Anolis sagrei: one gene and its partner. The protein of the gene in region 1 purifies or fractionates together with the protein of each later gene. This does not show direct contact. Links are inferred from orthologs where the notes say so. Each region holds a gene or a part of one and is shown in the gene's direction. Other genes may lie near its edges.

Region 1 (11,350 bases):
AAGAAATAGAATCAAGCTTGGTTATCTTTGCCAGTTCAGCTGTGGCATGCTGGAAAGTCTCCCTTAGATGTTTTCTGAAATAGCAACTAATGACTGCATCACACAAAGACTTTAGTCCGTGAATGCTTTATGCTTCAAGATGAGTCTCAAGAAGACTCTGTTGTCTTTGCTGCCAACATACTAACTCAACTACTCCTCCCTTTGGAAGCCAATTAAGATAGCTGTTCATTGCTGCTAACACTCAAAAATGACATTTGCGGCAGTGGAATGCAAACCATTTAATGCTGTACACAATGATAACTCTACAAAGCCAGAGGCTCATGGTGGTGAGGTGGCACATGCCAGAACATTCAGTCTCCACCCAAAAAGGCTAGTCATTCAGCACTCAGAAAATATTTATTTTCTAAGTTCTTATATGGACATAAATCAAGGGTAGGAATTGAGTAACCCTCTAAAATGGTGATTCCCAAATTCTATTTTAGATTTCAGTTCCCTACCATCTCACACAATTTAGTCAATGGTCAAACATTCTGGGAACTGAAGTTCAAAACATGAGGAGGCCCAGAGGTAGGGAATCGCTGACCTAGATGTTATTGCACTGCACTCACAGAAGCCCTAATCAGCCTAATCAATGGTGTGGAACGCTGGGAGTTGCAGTCCTTTAACTGGCATACTTTCCACAACTGGTGTGCTTACTCTGGAACTCATTGCGTGTACTTTTGAATAAATATGGACAGAATTTACAGCTACAACACCCTGGTTTTGAAATGCTTTCCTCTTGCAGACCCAAATGGCACCAACCTTGTCCTTATTTCAGTGCCAAGTTAAACCCAGACTAGGTATTAGAGCAGCATTTCTCAACCTGGGGGTTGGGACCCCTGGGGGGGGGGTCATGATGGGGTTTCAGAGGGGTTGCCAAAGACCATCAGAAAACATATTTCTGATAGTCTTAGGAACGCCTTTGGCAGAGAAGGCTGAAAGTCTCTCCACCTGTCCTTCTCTTCCTTTTTTGGAAACAGACGTGGAATTCCTTTTTGGAAACAGACGTGGTGAGAGAAAACAAGTGAGGCTGGAGTCCCTTCAAGGCATGGGGGTTCTGTGTGGAAAGTTTGGCCCAATTCTATTGTTTGTGGGATTCAGAATGGTCTTTGATTGTAGGTGAATGATAAATCCCAGCAATGACAACTCCCAAATGTCAAGGTCTACCCCCCCCCCCCCCCCCAAACATCACCAGTGTTCAGATTTGGGCATATTGAGTATTCATGCCAAGTTTGCTCCAGATCCATCATTGTTTGAGTCCACAGTGCTCTCTGGATATAGGTGAACTACAACTCCAAACTCAAGGTCAATGCCCACCAAACTCTTCCAACATTTTCTGTTGGTCATGGGAATTCTGTGTGCCAAGTTTGGTTCAATTCCATCATTGGTGGAGTTCAGAATGCTCTTTCATTGTAGGTTAACTATAAATCCCAGCAACTAAAACTCTCAAATGACAAAACCAATCCCCCAACAACTCCACCAGTATTCAAATTTGGGTGTATCGGGTATTTGTGCCAAATTTCGTCTAGTGAGTGAAAATACATCCTGCATATTAGGTATTTACATTATGATTCATAACAGTAGCAAAAATGACAGTTATGAAGTAGCAATGAAAATAATGTTATGTTTGGGGGTCACCAAAACATGAGGAACTGTATTAAGGGGTCGCAGCATTAGGAAGGTTGAGAAACACTGCATTAGAGACTTGATAAGATCAAGATTTGTTTTTCAATGTATTACTCTTGGTAGACTAATTTTTGAGTTGTCAATTTTCAAAACAGAAAGTGCTTCAGAAATGTCATTCAAATGTTATAGTTTGATTTGATTTGTTATACCATACTCTGAAATCTGCTTATATATCGGGTAAAGTAGAAATATGTACATAAACAAATGGCACTTTAAAATGAAATCTTTTCATGGTATGTTTTTATTTTGCAATGCAATCCTACAAGTGTCCATCACAAAGAAAATCCCATTATGGTTAATATGACTCACACCTAAATAAGTGGTACAGGATTTCAGATTTGTATATAAAATGCTCAAATTATGCAATAGAAATATAGCCTTCTTCTTACAAGTCCTGGGTTACTTTAGAATGGTACATGTTCGCATTAAATTTAAAAAGCACGTTTCCTCATCTGGCTCTGAACAGGTCGGCAGAAACAGAACATTCCTTTCTTTGGGGGCAGAAAAAAAACCTTTGAGCAAAGTCTGACTCACAGGTTTTGCAGAGCTTGTGACTAAAATAGCTCACTAATCTTGTGCTTTCCCCAGGAAAGAAGACCTGCCTGTTTCTTTACTATCTGAACTTGCTTCCTTTCCTTGGTTGACTACAGTACCAAGTCATTTGTGTGATGTTGGGCAACCGATGATTAATATTTTTGAAGAGGTGAGGTCCCAAGATTTCTGCCTTATGAATGTACCTTGCTGACTTCAAGCAACCTTTCGGGCACACCCTCCTTATCTGGAACTCCAACCATGCGAAGAATGCAAGGGGGAGAAATAAACTTCCTTCATAGAAACCTAATAAACCTGGAGTGATAAAACCTTCCACATGATGAGTATAAGCACTCAGAGTTCAACTGAACGGCTTTTGCGTCTCAGAAGCAGGTCAATTCGACTGACATGAAAATCCTCTCCATGTGATCTGTATAGTTTGGGAAAGTTACTTTTTCGAACACTCCTGAAAAATGTAATAGACCTTTTGGACATATACACAGCTTACACATATGTATATTAATAGGCAACACATTCATATCCTAAGTATTCCTTCCACCCTATACTGAAAAATTATCAAAGAAATAACTGATTTGTATGTACAAATGAATTCCCAGTATACAAAACTATGTTCATTTTCAGCTTCAATATACCTATTGATTTTGATCCCTTCCACTTGTTTTTGTTTAGTTTTGATATATTTAAATAATTTGTTTGAGGTTAGAGTTCAAGACAAAAGATTTGAACTGTAAACAGGCCTGCCCTATCCATGGTTACACAGAAGTAAGTGTTGTGAGTTAATATAGTTCATTCCCAAACAGAATTACAGTCAAGAGTGCATCTATATTGCAGAATTAATGCATTTTGACACAACTTTAATTGATTTGGCTCAAGGCTATGGAATCCTGAGACTTGTAGTTCGGTGAGGTGCCAGAACTTTTTGGCACAGAAGATTAAACTCCTTGTAAAACTACAACTCTCAGAATTCCATATCATTGAGCAAAGGCTGTTATAGTGGTGTCAAACTGCATTATTTCCAGTGTAGATCCACCCTGATACACACTTGTGCCATCCAATTAAATGTTGTTGCCTTAGTGTTCACATAGATTCCCCATTAGTCCACCTGTCTTTTACTTGAAAGAAGAATATTTAAAGTGTTAAACCACGAGAAAGATTTCAAACTCTTTAGTCCAGCATAAATTTTGCAGCACACACTTCCAGACCCAAATGCATCTTCATTCACTGAATGACACGGGCGTGTCATTCAGTGAATGAAGATGCATTTGGGTTCATATATCTGTTTCCATAAGGAGACTTAGAAACACCTACATAAGAATTCAAAAGACTCTTTCTAAAAGTATTTCACAATTCAGCCTTTTATAGCAGACACAAAAAAACTGTCATAACAGTATTTTAAAGATTAACACTGTTTTCTTGAATTTCAGTAATAACTGGCTGATAAGCGTAATGAAATCAATAGGGTTTGCATCTGATAATCCACAAACGATTGCATTAGGAATTTGCTATTCCTCAGTCACTTTCAAATGTACCATTTATGTCTTTTCAAGCTGAAACAGACTAAAATACTTTTGGCTGTGAATAATGCCACAATAGGCCTAAAGTCATTTTTTAGTGTAAGTTCTACTTACTTTAATAAGATTACTCAAAATACAACTACCATATATCCAGCCCAATAAATAAAGAACAGTAGGCAGCAGCTGAGATGGAGAGAAATTACAAAGCATGTCCTCTATGACAAGGAATTGTTAAGGAATTAAAGATATGCAGATATATGCTAAAAAGTAATGGCTTCACAAAAGAACTGGTCTGTGAAAACACAAGTGTCCTAGATTTGTTCTATTAATTAACAACAACAGCAGCAGCAGAGCATACATCAATTGAAACTCAGATAGATAAACACTATACTTCTGGAGAAGTTTCAGATCAACTGTTTTAACAACATTGCCCCTTTGAATCTGTATTATTTAAAGAAGGAGCTTTTCAGATATTTATTTATCATATCAGAAGCAAGTAGAGGGTACAATTAGAATGTATTTAAAACACAAAGTTAAAAACTTGGCATTATACTAAGTCTTTTGACCAGAAGCTGGCCACTTGGAGTGCCTCCTAAAGGTGTCGCTGTAAGAAGGTCCTCCATTGTGCATGTGGCAGAGCTCTGGATGAATTGTAGTAAGTGGTCTGTGGTTTGCTCTTCTCTATACTCACATGTCATGGACTCCAATTTGTGACCTCATTTCTTAAGGTTGGCTCTGCATCTCGTGGTGCCAGAGCGCAGTCTGTTCAGCGCCTTCCAAGTCGCCCAGTCTTCTGTGTGCCGGGTGTGTGTGTGTGTGTGTGTGTGTCTCATCCAGTATCAGCCACAAATTGAGGTTCTGGGTAACTTTTCAGGTGATCTATGGAATAAACGGCGAGACTGAAATGTCTTCCCACTGGCTTCTAAATGTTGCCATTTCTGATATCAGATTCGTGTCCATTTTTTTGTTTAGAAACAGATTTATTCTGTGCAGGGCACAAGCTGGATCTATACTGCCATATAATTCAATTTGAACTTGCAAAATATGGTCAATGTAGATCCGTATAATGTAGTTCAATGCAGGACAATTGCATTATGTAGATCTACACATTGTGTGGATCCAGCCACTGCTGAAGGTCATAAAATGTGTCATGTTGGAAGAAAATCAAGTAAATTATCACCCTTGATGTTGTTTATCCTGTAACAATATTGTTTGAGTAGATATGGAGATGAAACCATAAACAGCCTTTTTAATCAGTAAACAAACTTTTTTTCATGAATTTCTTAGAATCATAGAGTTGGGAGAGACCATGTGGGCCATCCAATCCAACCCCTTGCCAAGAAGCAGGAAAATTGCATTCAAAGCACCCCCAACAGATGGTCATCCAGCCTCTCTTTAAAAGCCTCCAAAGAAGGAGTCTCCACCACACTCTGGGGCAAAGAGTTCCACTGCTGATCAGCTCTCATAGTTAGGAAGTTCTTCCCCATGTTCAGGTGGAATATCCTTTTCTGTAGTTTGAAGCCATTGTTCTGCGTCCTAGTCTCCAGGGAAGCAGAAAACAAGCTTGCTCCCTCCTCCCTATGACTTCCCCTCACATATTTATATGTGGCTATCATGTCTCCTTTTAGCCTTCTCTTCTTCAGGCTAAACATGCCCAGCTCTTCTTTCCCATCCCCAAAATACATTATTGAAGTATTCTTATTTTTTCTCTGAAGCACTTCAAGACTTTGGTTGGAACTCTTTTCAATTGAGATCACAAATTGTTACTAAAGTTAAAAGATTATAAATGCTGTAACTATTTAGAGTCATGTTTATTGTCATGAAGGAGCCCTCGGTGGCGCAGTGGGTTAAAGCGCTGAACTGCTGAGCTTGTTTACTGAAAGGTCGCAGGTTCAAATTCGGAGAGCGGTGTGAGCTTCTGTTGTCAGCCCCAGCTTCTACCAACCTAGCAGTTCGAAAACATGCAAATATGAGTAGATCAATAGGTAATGCTTCTGCAGGAAGGTAACAGTGCTCCATGCAGTCATGCTGGCCACATGACCTTGGAGGTGTCTACAGACAATGCCGGCCCTTCGGCTTAGAAATGGAGATGAGCACCACAACTGGACTTCATGTCAGGGGTAAACTTTTACCTTATTCTCATGAATGATGGGGCAACTCTGCAAAGAAAAACAATGCACTGTTTTTCTACGGATGAAAACTAATGGGTTTCCAAGGCTCTGAAAATCTGTTGCTCCAGTAACTAGGGATCCATCTGCACTATAGACTTAATGCAGTTTGATACTTCATTAAATGCCATGGCTCAGTGCTATGGAATCCTGGGAGTTGTAGTTTAACAAGCCCTCTCTACCAAGATACAACTACCAGGAGTCCATACCGGTGCCAAATTGCATTAATCCTACAATTAATCCTGCATTAACCGCCCTAAGTCCCATTGGGGAAAGAGGGTGGTATATAGATAAAGTTGTTGTTACAACGTAGTGCACCTTTCCATTGGAAAAAAAAACTATCAGCAGCCGCGCATGCGCCGTCCTCTCCCTTTCTTTGGAATCCAGCCCGGCAGGTATTTCTCTCCCTGCTGTCTAACACAACACCTCCTCCTTCCCTGTCCCAATGGCGCAGGCGCAGTCTGGATCCTGCCTTCCCTAGCAGGTGCCTTTCTTTTTTCTCTCCCTCTAAGAAGCAACAGGTGCGCATGCGCCTCCGGGGCTCGCAGGTGTGCAGGGGCTTTCCCCTCCTTGTGGTGGATCCGCGGGGCGGCTCCGCGTCCGCGCATGCGCGCTGCTTCCTCCTCCTCCTCCCCTCCTCCTCCTCCTCCTTGGAGCTGCAGGTGCCAGGAGGCGGCGGCTGGAGCTGCTGCGGCGCTGCTGCTCTCGGGCGGACCTTTCCCTTCCTCGGGATCGGCGGAGAAGGAGCCCCAGCTTCCAGTCCGAGCGACCCTCGGGCGGCATGAACCGGGTCCAGCGGGGAGGAGGCGGAGGAAGCCGCGGCCTCGGCCCCATGGAAGTCAAGAGCAAGGTGCGTTCCGCCTCCCCCTTGCTCCCATTGGGCGGGATCGGGGGCTAAAGCGGGATTCGCGTCCACACTAGCGGGTGGCACGCGCTTCAAGGAAGGGTTGGAGACAGCCAGGGCCTTGTTTGTCCCCTTCGGTTGTCAGGGAAGCCGGTTGCTGTGTTTGGGAGGGAGCTTGTGTCGAATCTGGGGGGTTGGAGGGTGCTTTTGTTCTCCTCTTCCTTAAGTGCACAAGAGTGCCCCTGAGCATACGCAGAGAGGCTTCCACGCTGCGTCAGGACATCACTGAGGTTGTCTGATTGGGAAGTGGGTTTGTCGAATCAGGAAATGGTACTCCTTCTTCTTGAGTAGGCAAGAATGCATCTGGGCATGTGCAGAGAGCATTCATTCTGTCGATTCTGGAGTTGCCCAGCTTGGGAAGTGGTTTTGTCGAATCTGGGAACGGTTCTTCTGCTTCTTCGGAGGCAAGAGTGCTTCTGGGCATGTGCAGAGGGCATTCATTCTGTAGATTCTGGAGTTGCCCTGATGGGGAAGTGGTTTTGTCGAATCTGGGAACGGTTCTTCCATTTCTTCAGTAGGCAAGAATGCTTCTGGACATGTGCAGAGGGCATTCACTCTGGGGACTCTGGAGTTGCCGAGATTGGGAAGTGGTTTTGTCGAATCTGAGAATGGTTCCCCTTCATCTTCAGTAGGAAGGAGTGTTTCTGGGCATATGCAGAGGGCACTCAGCCTGGGGACTCTGAAGTTGCCCTGATTGGGAAGTGGTTTAGTCAAATCTGGAGATTTTTTGAGGACGCAAGATGCTTCTGGGCATGTGCAGAGGGCATTCACTCTGGGGACTCTGGAGTTGCCCTGACTGGGAAGTGGTTTAGTCAAATCTGGGAACGGTTCCCCTTCATCTTCAGTAGACAGGAGTGTTTCTGGGCATATGCAGAGGGTATTCACTCTGGGGACTCAGGAGTTGCCCTGATTGGGAAGTGGTTTAGTCGAATCTGGAGGTTTTTTGAGAACACAAGAGTGTTTCTGGGCATGTGCAGAGGGCATTCACTCTGGGGACTCTGGAGTTGCCCAGATTGGGAAGTGGTTTTGTCGAATCTGGGAAAAGTTCCCCTTCATATTCAGTAGGCAGGAGTGTTTCTGGGCATATGCAGAGGGCACTCAACTCTGGGGACCCTGGAGTTGCCCATGCTTCTGGGCATGTACAGAGGGCATTCACTCTGGGTAGCCATGGTCATTCGCTAACACCACACTTTTTCATGCACACAGGACATGCAGGAACTCTGTGAGTCCACTTAGAACTCACAGCCACACTTACAATCCCAATACTTATTTTCCTAGAAATAATAATAATAGAAGTAAATATGGGATTAAAAAGGCAAACTTGGGCCTTTTGGGTGTTTTGGACTCCAACTCCCACCATTCCTAACAGCCTCAAACCCTTTCCTTTTCCCCCTCAGCCGCTTAAGCAGCTGAGGGGGGAAAGGAAAGGGCCCGAGGCTGTTAGGAATGGTGGGAGTTGGAGTCCAAAACACCCAAAAGGCCCAAGTTTGCCCATGCCTGGGTTAAACCTATGATGAGAAGGAAATACATTACTATATGTCTTCTGAGGGCATAAGCACCCAAAAAGTACCAAACTCTGGACTGATCTTGGAAGCTAAGCAGGGTCAGCCCTGGCTGTTTCTTGGCTGGGAGACTGCCGATGGACTCTATTTCAGAGGAAGGAAGTGGCAAAAAGAGCTCTGACTATTCTTTGCCTTTGAAAACCCTATGAAATCCAATGGGTGGCTGTAAGTCTGGTCTTAGAGCAGGCATGGGTAAACTTGGGCCCTCCTGATGTTTTGGACTTCAAGGCCCACAGTTCCTAACAGGAGCCCCCGGTTCGAATCCGGGGAGACTGCAGATGAGCTCCCTCTGTCAGCTCCAGCTCCCCATGCAGGGACATGAGAGAAGCCTCCCAAAAGGATGGTAAAACATCAAAACATCCGAGCATCCCCTGGGCAACATCCTTGCAGATAGTCAATTCTCTCACACCAGAAGCGATTTGCAGTCTCTCAAGTCGCTCCTGACATGGGAAAAAAAGTTCCTAACAGTTAGGAATTGTGGGAGTTGAAGTCCAAAATACCGGGAGCGCTCAAGTTTGGCCATGCCAGCCTTAGATGCTAATCAGGGACAGCCATGGTTAGCACTTGGATGGAAAAGAGCCCCCGGTGGCGCAGTGGGTTAAACCCCTGTGTCGGCAGAACTCAAGACCCGACAGGTCACAGGTTTGGACCCGGGGAGAGGCAGATGAGCTCCCTCTATCAGCTCCAGCTTCTCATACGGGGACATGAGAGAAGCCTACCACAAGGATGATAAAAACATCAAATCCAGACGTCCCCTGGGCAACATCCTTGCAGATGGCCAGTTCTCTCACACCAAAAGCGACTTGCAGTTTCTCAAGTAGCTCCTGACACGACATAAAACAAAAAAAAACTTGGATGGGAGACTACCAGGTGCTGTAGGCTATATTTCAGATTGAGGAACTGGGCCAAAACCACCTCTGAGTTTGCTTAAGAAAGCCCTATTGAAATGCATGGGGTCTCCATAAGTGGACAGATGACCTGAAGGCATATACACACCCACATCTATCTATCTATTTATCTATCTATCTAATAGGTGAACAGGTAACCTGAAGGCACATACACGCCCACATCTATCTCTCTCTTTTCTGCTTTCTGGGTGAGGTGAGGTGAGAGATCGAGCCAAGTATCCCTAGAATCACTTCCTCCTATCAACAACACTTCTAGGTTCTTGTGGGTTTTTTCGTGCTATGGAGCCATGTTCTAGAGGCATTTCTCCTGACGTTTCGCCTGCATCTATGGCAAGCATCCTCAGAGGTGTGAGGTCTGTTGGAAGTAGGAAAAATGAGTTTATATATCTGTGGAATGGCTGGGGTGGGGCAAGGAGCTCTTCCCTGCTGCAGTTAGGTGTGAATGTTTAGCTGATCACACTTCTGCTGATGGCCTTATTTTTCTTTTCTGTCTCTAATAGCATGTTCAGTGACATTTGTTTTATGACGGAAGGAACATGAGCTTGAAGGCGAGGTAGTAATTTTCTTCTGGAATAACATTGGGCAACAAGGGAGAATTGGATGAGTGTTGTGGGGTGGGCGGAACGGACATATTATGGAGAATCACTAGCACAGTGGTGCTCAACCTTCCTAATGCTGTGACCCCTTAATAGAGTTCCTCATGTTGTGGTGACCCCCCAACCATAACATTATTTTCATTGCTACATCATAAGTGTAAGTTTGTTACTGTTATGAATTGTAATGCAAATATCTGATATGCAGGATGTATTTTCATTCACTGGACCAAATTTGGCACAAATACCCAATGACGTCCACATTTGAATACTAGGCCTGTCGGTTTCGTTTCGTTAATTCGTTAATTCGTATTAAAATCGTTATTTTTTGCATATCCGAAGCGATATCAAAACATATTTTTAAACCCGGAAGGGTTTAAAAATATCGAAGCAGCAGCCCCATGTATTTTACGAGCTGAAGCTCCGCTCGTTAATTGCATGGAGGCTGCTGCTGAGCGCGCCATCCGGCTCTGGCTCCTCCTCTTCCTCCGGAGCCCATTGGATGGCGCGCGCGCGCTCACAAGCGGCCTCCGCGCGCCATCCAATGGGCTCCTGCGCCCCCCTCCTCCTCCTCCTCCTCCTCCTCTTCCTCCCAGCTGGGAGGAAGAGGAGGAGGAGGAGGAGGAGGAGGGGGGCGCCGGAGCCCATTGGATGGCGCGCGCGCGCTCACAAGCGGCCTCCGCGCGCCATCCGGCTCTGGCTCCGGCGCCCCCCTCCTCCTCCTCCTCCTCCTCTTCCTCCCACCTGGGAGGAAGAGGAGGAGGAGGAGGAGGAGGAGGGGGGCGCCGGAGCCCATTGGATGGCGCGCGCGGGCTCACAAGCGGCCTCCGCGCGCCATCCGGCTCTGGCTCCGGCGCCCCCCTCCTCCTCCTCCTCCTCCTCCTCTTCCTCCCACCTGGGAGGAAGAGGAGGAGGAGGAGGAGGAGGAGGGGGGCGCCGGAGCCCATTGGATGGCGCGCGCGGGCTCACAAGCGGCCTCCGCGCGCCATCCGGCTTGTGTGACTTTTCAGGGCTGTATGACCATGTTCCAGAAGCATTCTCTCCTGACATTTTGCCCACATCTATGGCAGGCATCCTCAGAGGTCTGTTGGAAACTAGGCAAATGGTGAGTTATATATCATCTAATATTATCTATGGAATGTCCAGGGTGGGAGAAAGCCATTCAATGCTAATCAAGGTGACCATTACTGCAACATTCACACTTAGCCTGTTTGATCAAGAAAAATTTTTTTTCAAAAATGTTTTGTAAATAATAACGAAAATTCGTAAATAACAAAACATTTTTTTTGAAAGTTTTGTAAATATTTTTAATATCGAAACAAAAAAACACCCCAATTAAGAATCGAATTTAGAAACAAATTTTTTCTTGATCAAACAGGCCTATTGAATACTGGTGGGGTCGGGGGGGGGGTGTTGATTTTGTC
Region 2 (11,652 bases), on another chromosome or scaffold:
CCCCCTGTGGATACAAAAATCTGTGCATGCTCAAACCCCATTATATAATTATAATAATTCTTACTCATCTCTCCTCCCATGCTCACATCCCATTATATACAATAATCGAATTTTCCCCCTTATTTATAATAGCAAATCAAAGTTTGCTTTTTAGAATTTGTGAAGTTTGTGTGTGTGATATTTTCAAGTTGTGGATGTTTGAATCTGAGGAAGTAGAATCCATAGATGCAATGCACTGAGTGTATATACTCTCAGTGACTGGAAAAGATCAGTGGCTTCCTGTCCATGGTTAGACATTTGCGTGCCTGTAAGTTCCAGTGTGGAATTTCACTTCCACTATGTTTTTAAAGAAACCAGAGAATATCAGTTTAAAGAGCTATAAAAGGAAAAAAAAACTTTGAGAGCACATGAGTCACCACTTGATTTTAAATGATGTGGGACACAAATTCCTCTTTTGTCGTCCTGCAGTCCTACCCTTCCGTTTCTTTGGTTTCATCCCTGCTTACTTTCCCTCATTTTAAAGCTGCAGCCCAAATGTACAAACTTTTTCTGAACCTGCCAAACTTTTACAGTGTGTTTCTGAAACAGAGCTATGTTTCATTAGTTTGTGAAGTTAGCTTCCTATGTATACATATCAGGGCTTTTGTTTGTCACAGTACTCCAAATGTGGAACTCCCTGCCCAAGGAAGTCGGGTTCTTTTGTTCTTTTGGCAAGCAGCCAAAACAGTGCTGTTTCAGATGGCCTTTAATGTTTAAAAATCGTACCTCAATTCCCACCTGCATAATAAAGGCTTAGGCAACATCTGAAATACACTTACCCAATTTTTTTTAACAAATCAGCATCAAATGTACATCATACAGAAAACTGGAGTGCATCTGTACTATCAAATTAATGCAGTTTGATTCTACTTTAACTGCAATGATTCAATGCTGTGGAGTTGTTGTTTGGTGAAGCACGACAGCAAACATAAATGAACTTGGATCCCATACATAAAATACCTCATTATCTGCATGTAGACAGTATTCCAAAATGTGTGTATGTGGGTGGGTGAGGGCAAAATTTGAAACACTTTTGATTCCAGGCATTTTGAATAAGGAATACTCAACCTGTATTTACAATGTATGCCAAGGGTTCTGCAAGTACAATTCAGCAAAGCTTTGCAGGAAAAAATTTTGGGGGGGGGGGGGGAGTATGGGGACAAACAGACAACCAAAGAGCAAATTTTGATTTTACTATAGGTTGAGCACTTCTCTGATGTGTAAGCATACCTGCTGTAGTATCCCACTATTCATAAATCCTCAGGCTCTCTTCAGCAGTCATTAGAATTGTCTGTCATTTTACATAAGGGTTCCATTTTACTATGTCATTGTATATAATGAGACTTTTTACTTTTTCTACCTCCACAACATGAGATCAGTGTGTTTTGCCTGAAGCTGGAGATTAATTCCAGTTTAACACCTGTGATTTATATTTTCAAAAATAGGGAGACACAATTGCTAAATGTCACATTTCCCAACAGTCTTCACTGCAAAGTGATAACATCTGTGGGAGTCTAATCCATTTAAATCAGTTTGACTGTGCCAGATTTCATTTAAAAGCTTTGACTGTACAGACGTTCCTGTTTCAGCATCCCTTGTCTTCCTCAGAGTGTCTGCTCACTATTTTGGTTGGTTCTAATTCAGGGAAAGCATGAATGTGGTTTGTGACTTTTTTATCCTTATGGAGCAACATGGCTTAACTTTGCTCTATTTTTAGAATAAGTAGAATCATGGAATTCAAAGATCAAGAGTTTGGAAGCCAAACCTACAAGGAGCACCTTAGGAAGCTGGGTCTATTTACTTTAGAGAAAAGAGGACAGGATAGCCATGTTTAAATATTGAAAAAGGATGTCAATTGAAGGGGAATGGGCAAGCTTGTTTCCTGCTGCTTTGGAGACTAGGAAATGAAGCAACGGATTCAAACTGCAAAAAAAAAATCAATCTAAACATTAGGAAGAACTTCCTGGCAAGCAGTGGAATGGGCTAGTGCCTCGGAGTGTAGTGGAGTCTCGTTCTATTAATGTTTTTAAACAGAGGGTGGATGGCCATCTGCTGGGGATGCTCTGATTATGTATTCTTGCCTGGCACAGGGTTGGACTGGATGATCTTTAGGATGTCTTCCACTTCTGATTCTATTAATATAGAAGAATACAAATACTCAAGAACATATCTATTTCGGAATAAAAAAAATATGTGGGTATTCACATCATATTTGTAAACACTCATCCTTTTTTAAAAAAAGTTATTATGAAGCCAGAAAATTTGAAATTTTAGCTACCTGGCAGATACCATAAGCCGCTCCAAACCCTTTAGAAGAGATGGTGCAGGATACAAATAAAGTATTATTATTATTATTATTATTATTACCGAGAAAAATAACCTGGCAAGTTCCACTAACCACGAATGTCCCGAGATGAGAAATCAGGATCTCACTGGCATAAAGACAAAAGACAGAAGCTTGAGGCTGGGAATTTCTCACACTGCAACAAAGGCTCAAAGTGTGTAAGTGTACAGAATATGGAAAAGGCAAATAACTTTATATACATAGAATACCCACTTGAAATTCCCTCCCAGCCCTCTGATTGGTCCATGCAAAAAAGCCAGTGGCGTTTTCCTGACCCCTGATTGATCAGGGGGCGGGACCTTGCCGGCTTGCTCTCTGATTGGTCAGGGAGGTGGTGATGTGGTTGGGATTCCCCACCCAGCTAGGTGGAGAAGCCCTGGGGCCTCCAATGGTGAGGCAAGGGAGGGCTCTGGGCAGACATGGCGATGTTAATGAAAGTGTGGAAAACTGAATGAGGGGATTATGTGGGAATCGAGTCCAGGATTCAGGAACAATGGTGACTTGCCAGACCCAAGTACTCTCCTAGGAGGGAGACAATGACAAAGTCCAGTATGTCAATGTGAGACTTGAGTGGATCATCTGTGTCTCCTCCTAGGTCATTGTCTCATGATTGGTGTCCATCTCTCAGAGGGAAGCTTCAGGTGGCTGTTTGTCGGGAAGGGTCTTTGTCACCTTGATGGTTATCCAAAACTGGCCGCGGGCTGGGAGGGATCCTGGAGTGAAGATGTTCAGAGTTTATTGGAATACGCTTCAGTTTTACCTTCAAAGTTTATAATTTCATAAATAAATACCGATGAAAAGAGAATGTGTCTTATTTCATACATGTTTAGAGGCGGGAGAGGGTTGATTGCCTTATTTTTGTTATATGATGTGATGTGCACATGTGCAGGTTTGCAGTGGGAAAAATAATAAAAAGAAAATAGTTATAGATAGTGGGGCGAAGTGGAGGAGAAAGCAATGAAGTCTAGCGAGGGAGGAAGAGAGATATAGTGTATCTCTGGCAGTGAGGCAGGTTGATACTCTGTGGCACCAGCCATTGCTGGCTTCCCTGGGCTCTGGTTGTGCGCTGCTCCAGAAAGATCCCAGTAAACCAGCTGAGTTGGCAGGGTTTTTGGAAAATGGGGGTTATGCGTCGCTGATCAGGAGTGCTTAGGTGCAACTGGGGAGACTCAGTGAGGTGAGGGCCATGGCAACTCATGGAGGCCCTCCGCCCCCAGGAAACTACAACTCCCGCAGATACTGCATTTCCATGGTGGTGGTGGTGGTGGTGGTGGGGGGGGGGATTGGTGTTTGACAACAAAGCCATCAGTAAAAAAATAGCTTTGGCTTTGTGCAGACAGGAGGATGGAGGAAATAAGCCCAACATGTCTTCTAGTAATCCAGTACCTTAATATTTCTATCCCCATCCAATTTATTTGTAAAGAATCCACTTTATGTTGGTCAAACAGGGATCACCTTCCTGACAGTACAGTAAATAAAAAATCCTCAACGTTGGAATAAATCATATGCACTCCTTGGAAGTAGTCCAGTAAAAAACTACTTATTAACTGGGTGTCTTACCAAACCAAATATCAGTCATCCCTTCAATTTGGAGACAGAATGACAGATCAGGAGAGTGTTTGTATCCAGGGACACGGGCAAAATTATTATCAAACCAGAAGAAGGATTTATGCAGGCTTTCTGGAGTTTCCAGTTTTGTGTTGCTTAACAATGTGTTCTGTACTACAGAGCAGTGTCACAAAACAGGTGAAGGAGGACAGGTCCCACCCTGGGATTTAGTTTCAGTTCTTGCTCAGCCATCACAGGGGCCTCAGTGAGCAGCTTGCTAGGGAAAAAGAAGAAAGAAAGAAAAGAAACAAGGACTAGATGAAAGAGACAGGAAATCCCCTGGGGTTAAATTCACAATCTCTGTAATTCAGCTGAAACTAAATCTATTGGCTCATATTTCTTCTGATACTTTGCCCGGCACACATTGACTGCTTCTCCTGAGCTATGACTCACATCTCAATTACAAATCAACTGGTTCTGTGCAATTCCCCTTCTGAAGTCGGATAATATGGAAGAAATAACACATCACAACCTGGTGCAGATGTATTAAAGGCTAATGTTTTAAATGCAATGCCACAAAGAATGGCACCTTTTGGAGAAATTAGTCCTTGTTTTCTTTGTATTGTTTACTTCCAGTTGCCAGAGTGAGAGTGTTCCTGTGCCTTTAATGCTTGTGTAGAAGAGGACATTTTGGTGGATGTTGAATGTCAGACAAGCAGGTAAGAAGGTGACATACTCTGTTTTGCTCTGCACAACCATTTAAGGTCCAGGAGTCTTTCCAGTTTCACTCTGCCAACCCTTGTATTACCGTGTATTAACTACAGCCCGTGTGGTTACTAACTAAAAATATCCTCACACAATAGTTGTCACTGAATAATAGTCACACGCCCATTTTTAGGGTGGGAAATTAGTATTTTTCTGTTCCTCACAATAAGTGCACCTTTTATTCACTTGCCTGCACATCTGCTTGGGCGAGTGAAGGAAGGGTGCAACTCACCCATGTGCCTGCTTCCTTGGAGAGATGGGGTTTCACTTGGCTGGTGAAGCTCCAAGTGAAACCCCATAGTTGTAAATGGGGCAGGCATGTAGGCAGGGGAAGCTTCACTCGACCACACACCTGCCCCCTTTCTAGCTACAGGGCTTCACTTGTCTGGCAGCCAAGTGAAGCCCCATAGCTGGAAATTTTTTCACCCTGTAATAGTTGCCACAATGTAATAGTCACAAAAAAGCAAAAAAGGTGAGAAAAGTGTGACTATTATGCAGTGAAATATGGTACTTTTAAAAATATACTAAACTAGCTTATATACCTGGCATTCCCAGGTGTTGATGGTACCACTGCCTGTCTACTTTCTCCCTTCTTCAGCTCTGAAAAGGCTATTTCACAATGTTTCCCTTTTCTTTCTCCCCCACTCCCTCCTATCATTGCCTTTCCTTTCTTTATTCTCTTTCTTTCTTTCTGCTCGTAATTGTGTCCCCTTTCTTTCCGAGTGACATCACAGAGGACACCTTTATATAGCCACAAACAATCCAGTGACATCACAAAGGGCCACTTCACCTAATAACCTCCTTTGTGGTACAAATGGAAAAATATGCATGCATACATATATACTTTGAAATATATACAGAGAGAAACGATGATTATGATCATGGTTAAACAAATGATAGGTCTCCCGCCTTCATTCACTGAGGCTTGCAACCTTTAATCTGAATTTGTTTACTCAACCATAGATCCTATCAAATGATGTAGTTTACTTCCTGGTATGCCTCTTATTGTTGTAATAGTCCTTTTCAAAACATTTTGTGTCCAGTCGTAGCCTAAAGGTACACTTGAAGTTTGTTCCTTTAGTTCCTGGTAGGATAACATATCTCATGCTCTTGTCACCACAAAGTTCACAAAAAAGTTTCTTGCATGAATAGGAAGCTGTTTTGTGACACCTTTAAAGGCTAATAATAAAGCTGTTTCCTGCATGGGATGATGAAAGAAACATCATTGGCACCGATAATTATTACCTGTTAAAGATTTGTCGGCTTTGAGGGGGAGATGGAAGAAATAGGCAATGATTCCACTGAGTCACAACTACAAATATTTTCTTGTCACTGTGACCCACATTGGCCCCATGTATGCTGCCATATAATGCAGCTTGACACTGCATTTTATGGCAATGTAGATGGGGCCATAGCTATACCCACATTTAATTAATGTAGTGGAGCACTGACTTCTAAAAGCTACCCTGGAAAATGAAATTCTCCCTTCATGTTTAGAATAAGAAGCATCGTTCAGTTAGGATCCCATGGGGCATTCTTTGGCTCTCTAAGGGACCCCTACAATACGGCTTAGCTTCTGCCAGCCTAGCAGTTTGAAAACATGCAAATGTGAGTAGATGAATAGCTACTGCTCCAGAAGGAAGGTAACGGTGCTCCATGCAGTCATGCCAGCCACATGACTTTGGAGGCGTCTACGGACAACACCAGCGCTTCGGCTTAGAAATGGTGACAAGCACTAACCCCCAGAGTCAGACATGACTAGACAATGTCAGGGGAAAACCTTTACCTTTTCTTTTTCTGCTCCAGAAATAAGGCCGCAGCACAAAAATTAGAAGAGAGGAAATACAATTTGATTTTGAAACTAATGCAGAACTTGGGTTTGGGTCTTAACAGTCAATTGGCTTAAAATGGGGTGGGCAGAATATAGAGAGAGCTAGTATAGTGGCTTAAGGATGCATCTACACGGAAGAATTGATGCATATTGACACCATTAACTGTCATGTAGTTTTGCAAGGTCTGTAGCCTTCTCTGCTGCTGCTAAGTATTGGGAAATCACCAAACTCCCTGGATCCTATCGCATGGCAGTAAAGTAGTGTCAGAAAGAATTAATGATGGGGTTTTTGTAAGTTAAAGATTAACTGTATGGCCATGTTCCAGAAGCATTTTCTCCTGACGTTTCGCCTGCATCTATGGCAGGCATGCTCATTACAGTGTAGTGTGAAAAATACACCCCCTACTCTCCCCTCCCCTCCCCATTGGCTCAGAAGGAGCATGCACTTCTGATTCCAATTCTCCCTTCCTCTCCCCCCCCCCCCCCCCGCTCCCTCTGCTCTTTTTCTATTGGCCAGAGCTAAAGAGTGAGAGATAGAAGAGAAAGGCGGAGGAAGAAGGAGGAGGAGGGGGGGGGGTATGAGCTCTGACTCCCGATTGGCTGCGGTGAATAATGACTCAGGAGCCGGGTTGAAAGAAGGCGCCGCGCTAACCCCGCCCTTTCGCCGGGGCTCATTTGCATATCCGGCGGGAACGCCCCCTCCCGGAGGTATCCAGGAAGGCGAGGCGGCGGCGCTGCTGCTGCTGCTGCTGCTCGAAGGGCGAGATTGTGCGGTAAGCAACGAGATATGGAGAGCCGGAGGAAGGGGGGGGGGGGAGAGAGAGAAAGGAGAGGGTGGGCGTGGAAATAGGGCCAAGGCTGCAAGTAAGGGGGTGGGGTTGGGAGGGAGAGAAAGAGAGAGATCGAGGGAGAGAGAAAGAAAGAAAGAAAAGGGAAGAGGCAAGCTTTCCTTCCTTCCTTCCTTCCTTCCTTGTGGGGTGGGGTTACAGCTTTGCCTCCCTGCTGGAAGGTAAGTTTGCAGCCGGGCTTTGCTGAAGTGTGTGTTTTGGGGAGGGTATGGGAACAGATTTGGGGTGCTTCTCTTTTGACCTCAAGTATGAGGGGGATGGGGTAGAAGGCCAGGGTTTGGGGGAGGGGGGCTGTCTGGAGCCTGACACTTGCTGTGTACTCCAATCAGCTCTCTTGTTAGGATCTGATTGAGGGTGCATCCACACTGCTGAATGAATGCACTTTGATACCACTTTAACTACCATGGTTCAATGCTTTGGGATCCAGGGAGTTGTGGTTTCATTAGGTCTGTAGCCTTCTCTGCCAGAGAGTGCTGGGCTTCATCAAACTACAGCTCCCAGGATTCCATAGCATTGTGGCATAGCAATTAAACTGGTGCTGGACCGCATTAATTCAACAGTGTAGACCAGGCATGGGCAAACTTGGGCCCTCCATGTATTTTGGATTTCAACTCCCACAATTCCTGTTAGGAATTGTGGGAGTTGGAGTCCAAAACACCTGGAGGGCCTAAGTTTGCCCATGCCTGGTGTAGATGCACTCGCAAACACTAGGACACAAGAGTTTTTGGGTGGATGGGGTTGGATCTGACAGTATCTCAGGTTGGATGAGGCTTTGCTAAAGGTGAGGGTGGGCCGACCTTGGGGAGCCTGCCATTGTGGGCTGAGAGACTTACCTGGGTGAAAGGAACTAGTTCCAGGTGTTAGGTTTCCGGGTGTGGTGCGGCCTTTCTGGTGCTTTGTTCGCCTGGCCTTGCAGTGTGGCTTGAAACCGAAGGTATTCTGGGAGGTGGTTTGCTCTTCTCCCTATAAGGACACTTTTGTTTGCACAGGTGCCAGGGTGAGCAGCAAAGCAAGGCTATAACCTCGCTCCCCGTGGCTATTATTTGTTTCAGGTTGCTCTCTTTTTTTCCTTAATGCCACTTTATGAGTTGACGAAGGCCAAGGTAGTCATTTGGCATAAAAGTGCTTCCTTTTGTAAGCTTGCTTGAATAGAATAAAAGTGCTTGGCAGAAAGCAGACAATGATCTTGCCACAAGACAGAGATTTGAGGGTTAATTTATGCAATGAGAGAAAGCCAATGCTTTGGCACATTTAGGGTGCATCTATACAGTAAGATTAAAACTTCTATACAGTAAGAGGCGCCTTCTTTGGAGTCTTTAAACAGAGGCTGGATGGCCATCTATCGGGGGTGCTTTGAATTCAATTTCCCTGCTTCTTGGCAGAATGGGGTTGGACTGGATGGCCCACAAGGTCTCTTCCAACTCTATGATTCTATAAAACAGTTTGATCCCACTTTTAACTGCCATGATTCAATGCTATGGAATTGTGGATGTTGTAGTTTGGCGAGGCACCAGTACTCTAACAGAGAAAGCTATAGATCTTTTAAAACTAGCTATGGCAGTTGAAGTGGGGTCAAACTGCATTAATTCTATAGTGTAGATGTATCCTTGATCGAGATAGTTCTGAAGTTGGGTTGCTGTGAGTTTTCCAGGCAGTATGGCCATGTTCCAGGAGCATTCCCCCCTGATGTTTCACCCACATCTACGGCAGGCATCCTCAGAGGTTATGAAGTCTGCTAGAAACTAGGCCAGTGAGGTTTATATATCTGTGGAATGTCCAGGTTGGGAGAAAGAACTCTTGTCTGCTTGAGGCAAGTGTGAATGTTGCAATTGGCCAGCTTGATTAGCATTGAATAGCCTGGCAGCTTCAAAGCCTGGCTGTTTCCTGCCTGTGGTATCCTTTTTTGGGAGGTGTTAGCTGGCCCTGATTGTTTCCTGTCTGAAATTCCCTGTTTTTTGACTGTTGCTCTTTATTTGATGTCATGGAGTTTTTAATACAGGCAACCAGTTCTTAAGTTGTAAAAAGCTATCCTGAATTAAGTAGCTATTCTTTATGGAGATGACTGTCGTTCACAAACTGAACCAGGTTTGACTTAAATTAAAGCCTGAGGAAATTTATCTTTGGGCTATAACAACTTGAATTTATCTTCCAGAAAACAATTTCTATAACCTGACGGGATGGGGCATTCTGGGAGTTGTAGTACAAAAATAACTTTGCTGAAGTTGGTTTGATGTAATGACTGCCTCTGCTGATAAGCCTGAGGCAAACTGAAACCTCCATGCAATCTTTTAGCAATTTGAATCGACAGAACTCCCTGCCTAATAAAGGGGCTTGTCTTGTTGAGTTTCGACTACTGAAAATGGCCTTGCTACACCCCCTGAGGCAAAGCAAAGCAGGAAGCTAACAAAATCCCACACCTAAAGGCTTGTAAACTCCTTTCCTGCTTTTCTTGGAGTCTTATTTGGAGGCAGAGCATCCAAACTACAGTTTCTAATGCAAGCGGGATTCTTCAGACAGTAAAGGATTGTTGGCTGAAATAGGGACATTGTTGGAGGAAGGGCAACACATTACCAGGTCTCATTTATTCCAGCCTGTTTTGGTGAAAACTGGATCCCTTTGAAATACTTTCCCTTATTGTTGGGAATAAATCCCTCTGTGGTTGTCTTATTAATAGTCTTTCACCAGGTTTTCATTCCCAGGCTCAGACAATGGCTTATTATTCTAGATCAATGACTTGCTTCCTTTGCCCTTCACCTCTACCTGTTCTGCTGTGAAAATGGTTGTCATCTTTGCCTTTGAGGGACAGCAGACGGCCATGCAATTCTGCCTTCCCCAATCATAGGGCTGGAGATTGTGCAGCCCCCTTGGTGAACTTGGAGTTCAGCTCCCAGCATCCCTGATAAATTCACTCAGAAGTATTGAATGCTGGGAGCTACAGTTACACAACATAGTTCTCATCCTCAACCATCCAGGTATCTCGAGAGGTGTTAAACTAAAAATCTTATGGGTTTTTGTGAGTTTTCCAGATTGTATGGCCATGTTCCAGAAGCATTATCTCCTGTTGTTTCACCTGCATTTATGGCAGGCAGCCTCAGAGGTCACAACCTCTGAGGATGCCTTCCATAGATTCAGGCAAAATGTCAGGAGAGAATGCTTCTGGAACATGACCATACAGTCTGTAAAACTCACAAAAACCCAGTGATACTGGACGTGAAAGTCTTTGACAATACATTAATAATCCTATGTTTGTTGGGGTAGAATGGAGGTTATAATATAACACATCTGGAGGACACTGTGTTGGGGAAGCTTGGTGTATCATTTATGTCTACTCTCCTGATGACACTTATGTCCATAGGACTTTCTTAAATAATGCTTATTTACTTTTGATAGCAGAAATTTAAATGTTATTAAGAGCCCGTGTAGATACCTATTTAACATACATCAGGCATGTTTTGCATCATAGAAGTTCCTAGATGATGACACTTAGGGTTGTGAGAACTTTACCTTGTATCATTAGCAGTGCAAATAGCTTCCATTTTTCTGACTACTTTCCATTATATATATGTACACACATTCTAGTTACTGCATTTATTATTGCAATTTACCCAAAATGTAATACAATTGTCTGGTTGCAGGCCCGTAGCCAGGATTTCATTTCGGGGGGGGGGGGGGGGGCTGAATTTTTTTTCAGGGGGGGTTTCGGGGGGGCCTGAGTTTCGGGGGGGGGGCTGAGTCTGAGTGAAAGAAGGTCTAGCCTAGCAAACCTTTTGTATCATTACCCCAATACCCCCATGCATATGGAATATGTTGAGTATGGTGATCAGATCATGATATGAATAAACATAACAGTTTAAATAATGCACCATTAAGGCCTTTTCGCGAACCACCATGAAAATTTCGGGGGGGGGGGGGGCTGAAGCCCCCCGAGCCCCTCCCCTGGCTACATGCCTGTCTGGTTGATACTGACACGATAAATAAATAAATAACCCCAAATGATAGTAAATTCCTTTCTGATACAGCATTGGTCTCAGTGGATGGATCTACACTGCCATATAATCGAGATTATCAAAACAGATAATCCAGATTATCTGCTTTGAACTGGATTGTATGAGTCTACACTGCCATTTACTCCAGTTCAAAGCAGATAATCTGGACTGACAGTATAGATGTGGCCTGTGTCAAAAACTATAAAGTCTGATTTGTCCCATCATAAATAGTCTTTTTTGTTATCCACCCTTTTTCCTTATCCTTAAACTGAATTTCATATTGTGCAGTTT

Evidence for each region.
Region 2: the proteins of PARD6B (region 1) and LLGL2 purify together in Homo sapiens (affinity purification with mass spectrometry; 7 studies listed by BioGRID and IntAct, counting the BioPlex papers as one, with this or other methods). This does not show direct contact. The link is inferred for Anolis sagrei from reciprocal best matches to the Homo sapiens genes PARD6B and LLGL2.

Annotation. Positions count from the first base shown.
Region 1 is NC_090024.1:222,694,627-222,705,976, forward strand, and holds the start of PARD6B (partitioning defective 6 homolog beta), read left to right. Parts: upstream 1-6,599; 5' UTR 6,600-6,740; coding exon 6,741-6,809; intron 6,810-11,350. UniProt on the Homo sapiens protein: Adapter protein involved in asymmetrical cell division and cell polarization processes. Probably involved in formation of epithelial tight junctions.
Region 2 is NC_090022.1:117,840,976-117,852,627, forward strand, and holds the start of LLGL2 (LLGL scribble cell polarity complex component 2), read left to right. Parts: upstream 1-7,198; 5' UTR 7,199-7,300; intron 7,301-7,418; exon of another isoform or gene 7,419-7,536; intron 7,537-11,652. UniProt on the Homo sapiens protein: Part of a complex with GPSM2/LGN, PRKCI/aPKC and PARD6B/Par-6, which may ensure the correct organization and orientation of bipolar spindles for normal cell division.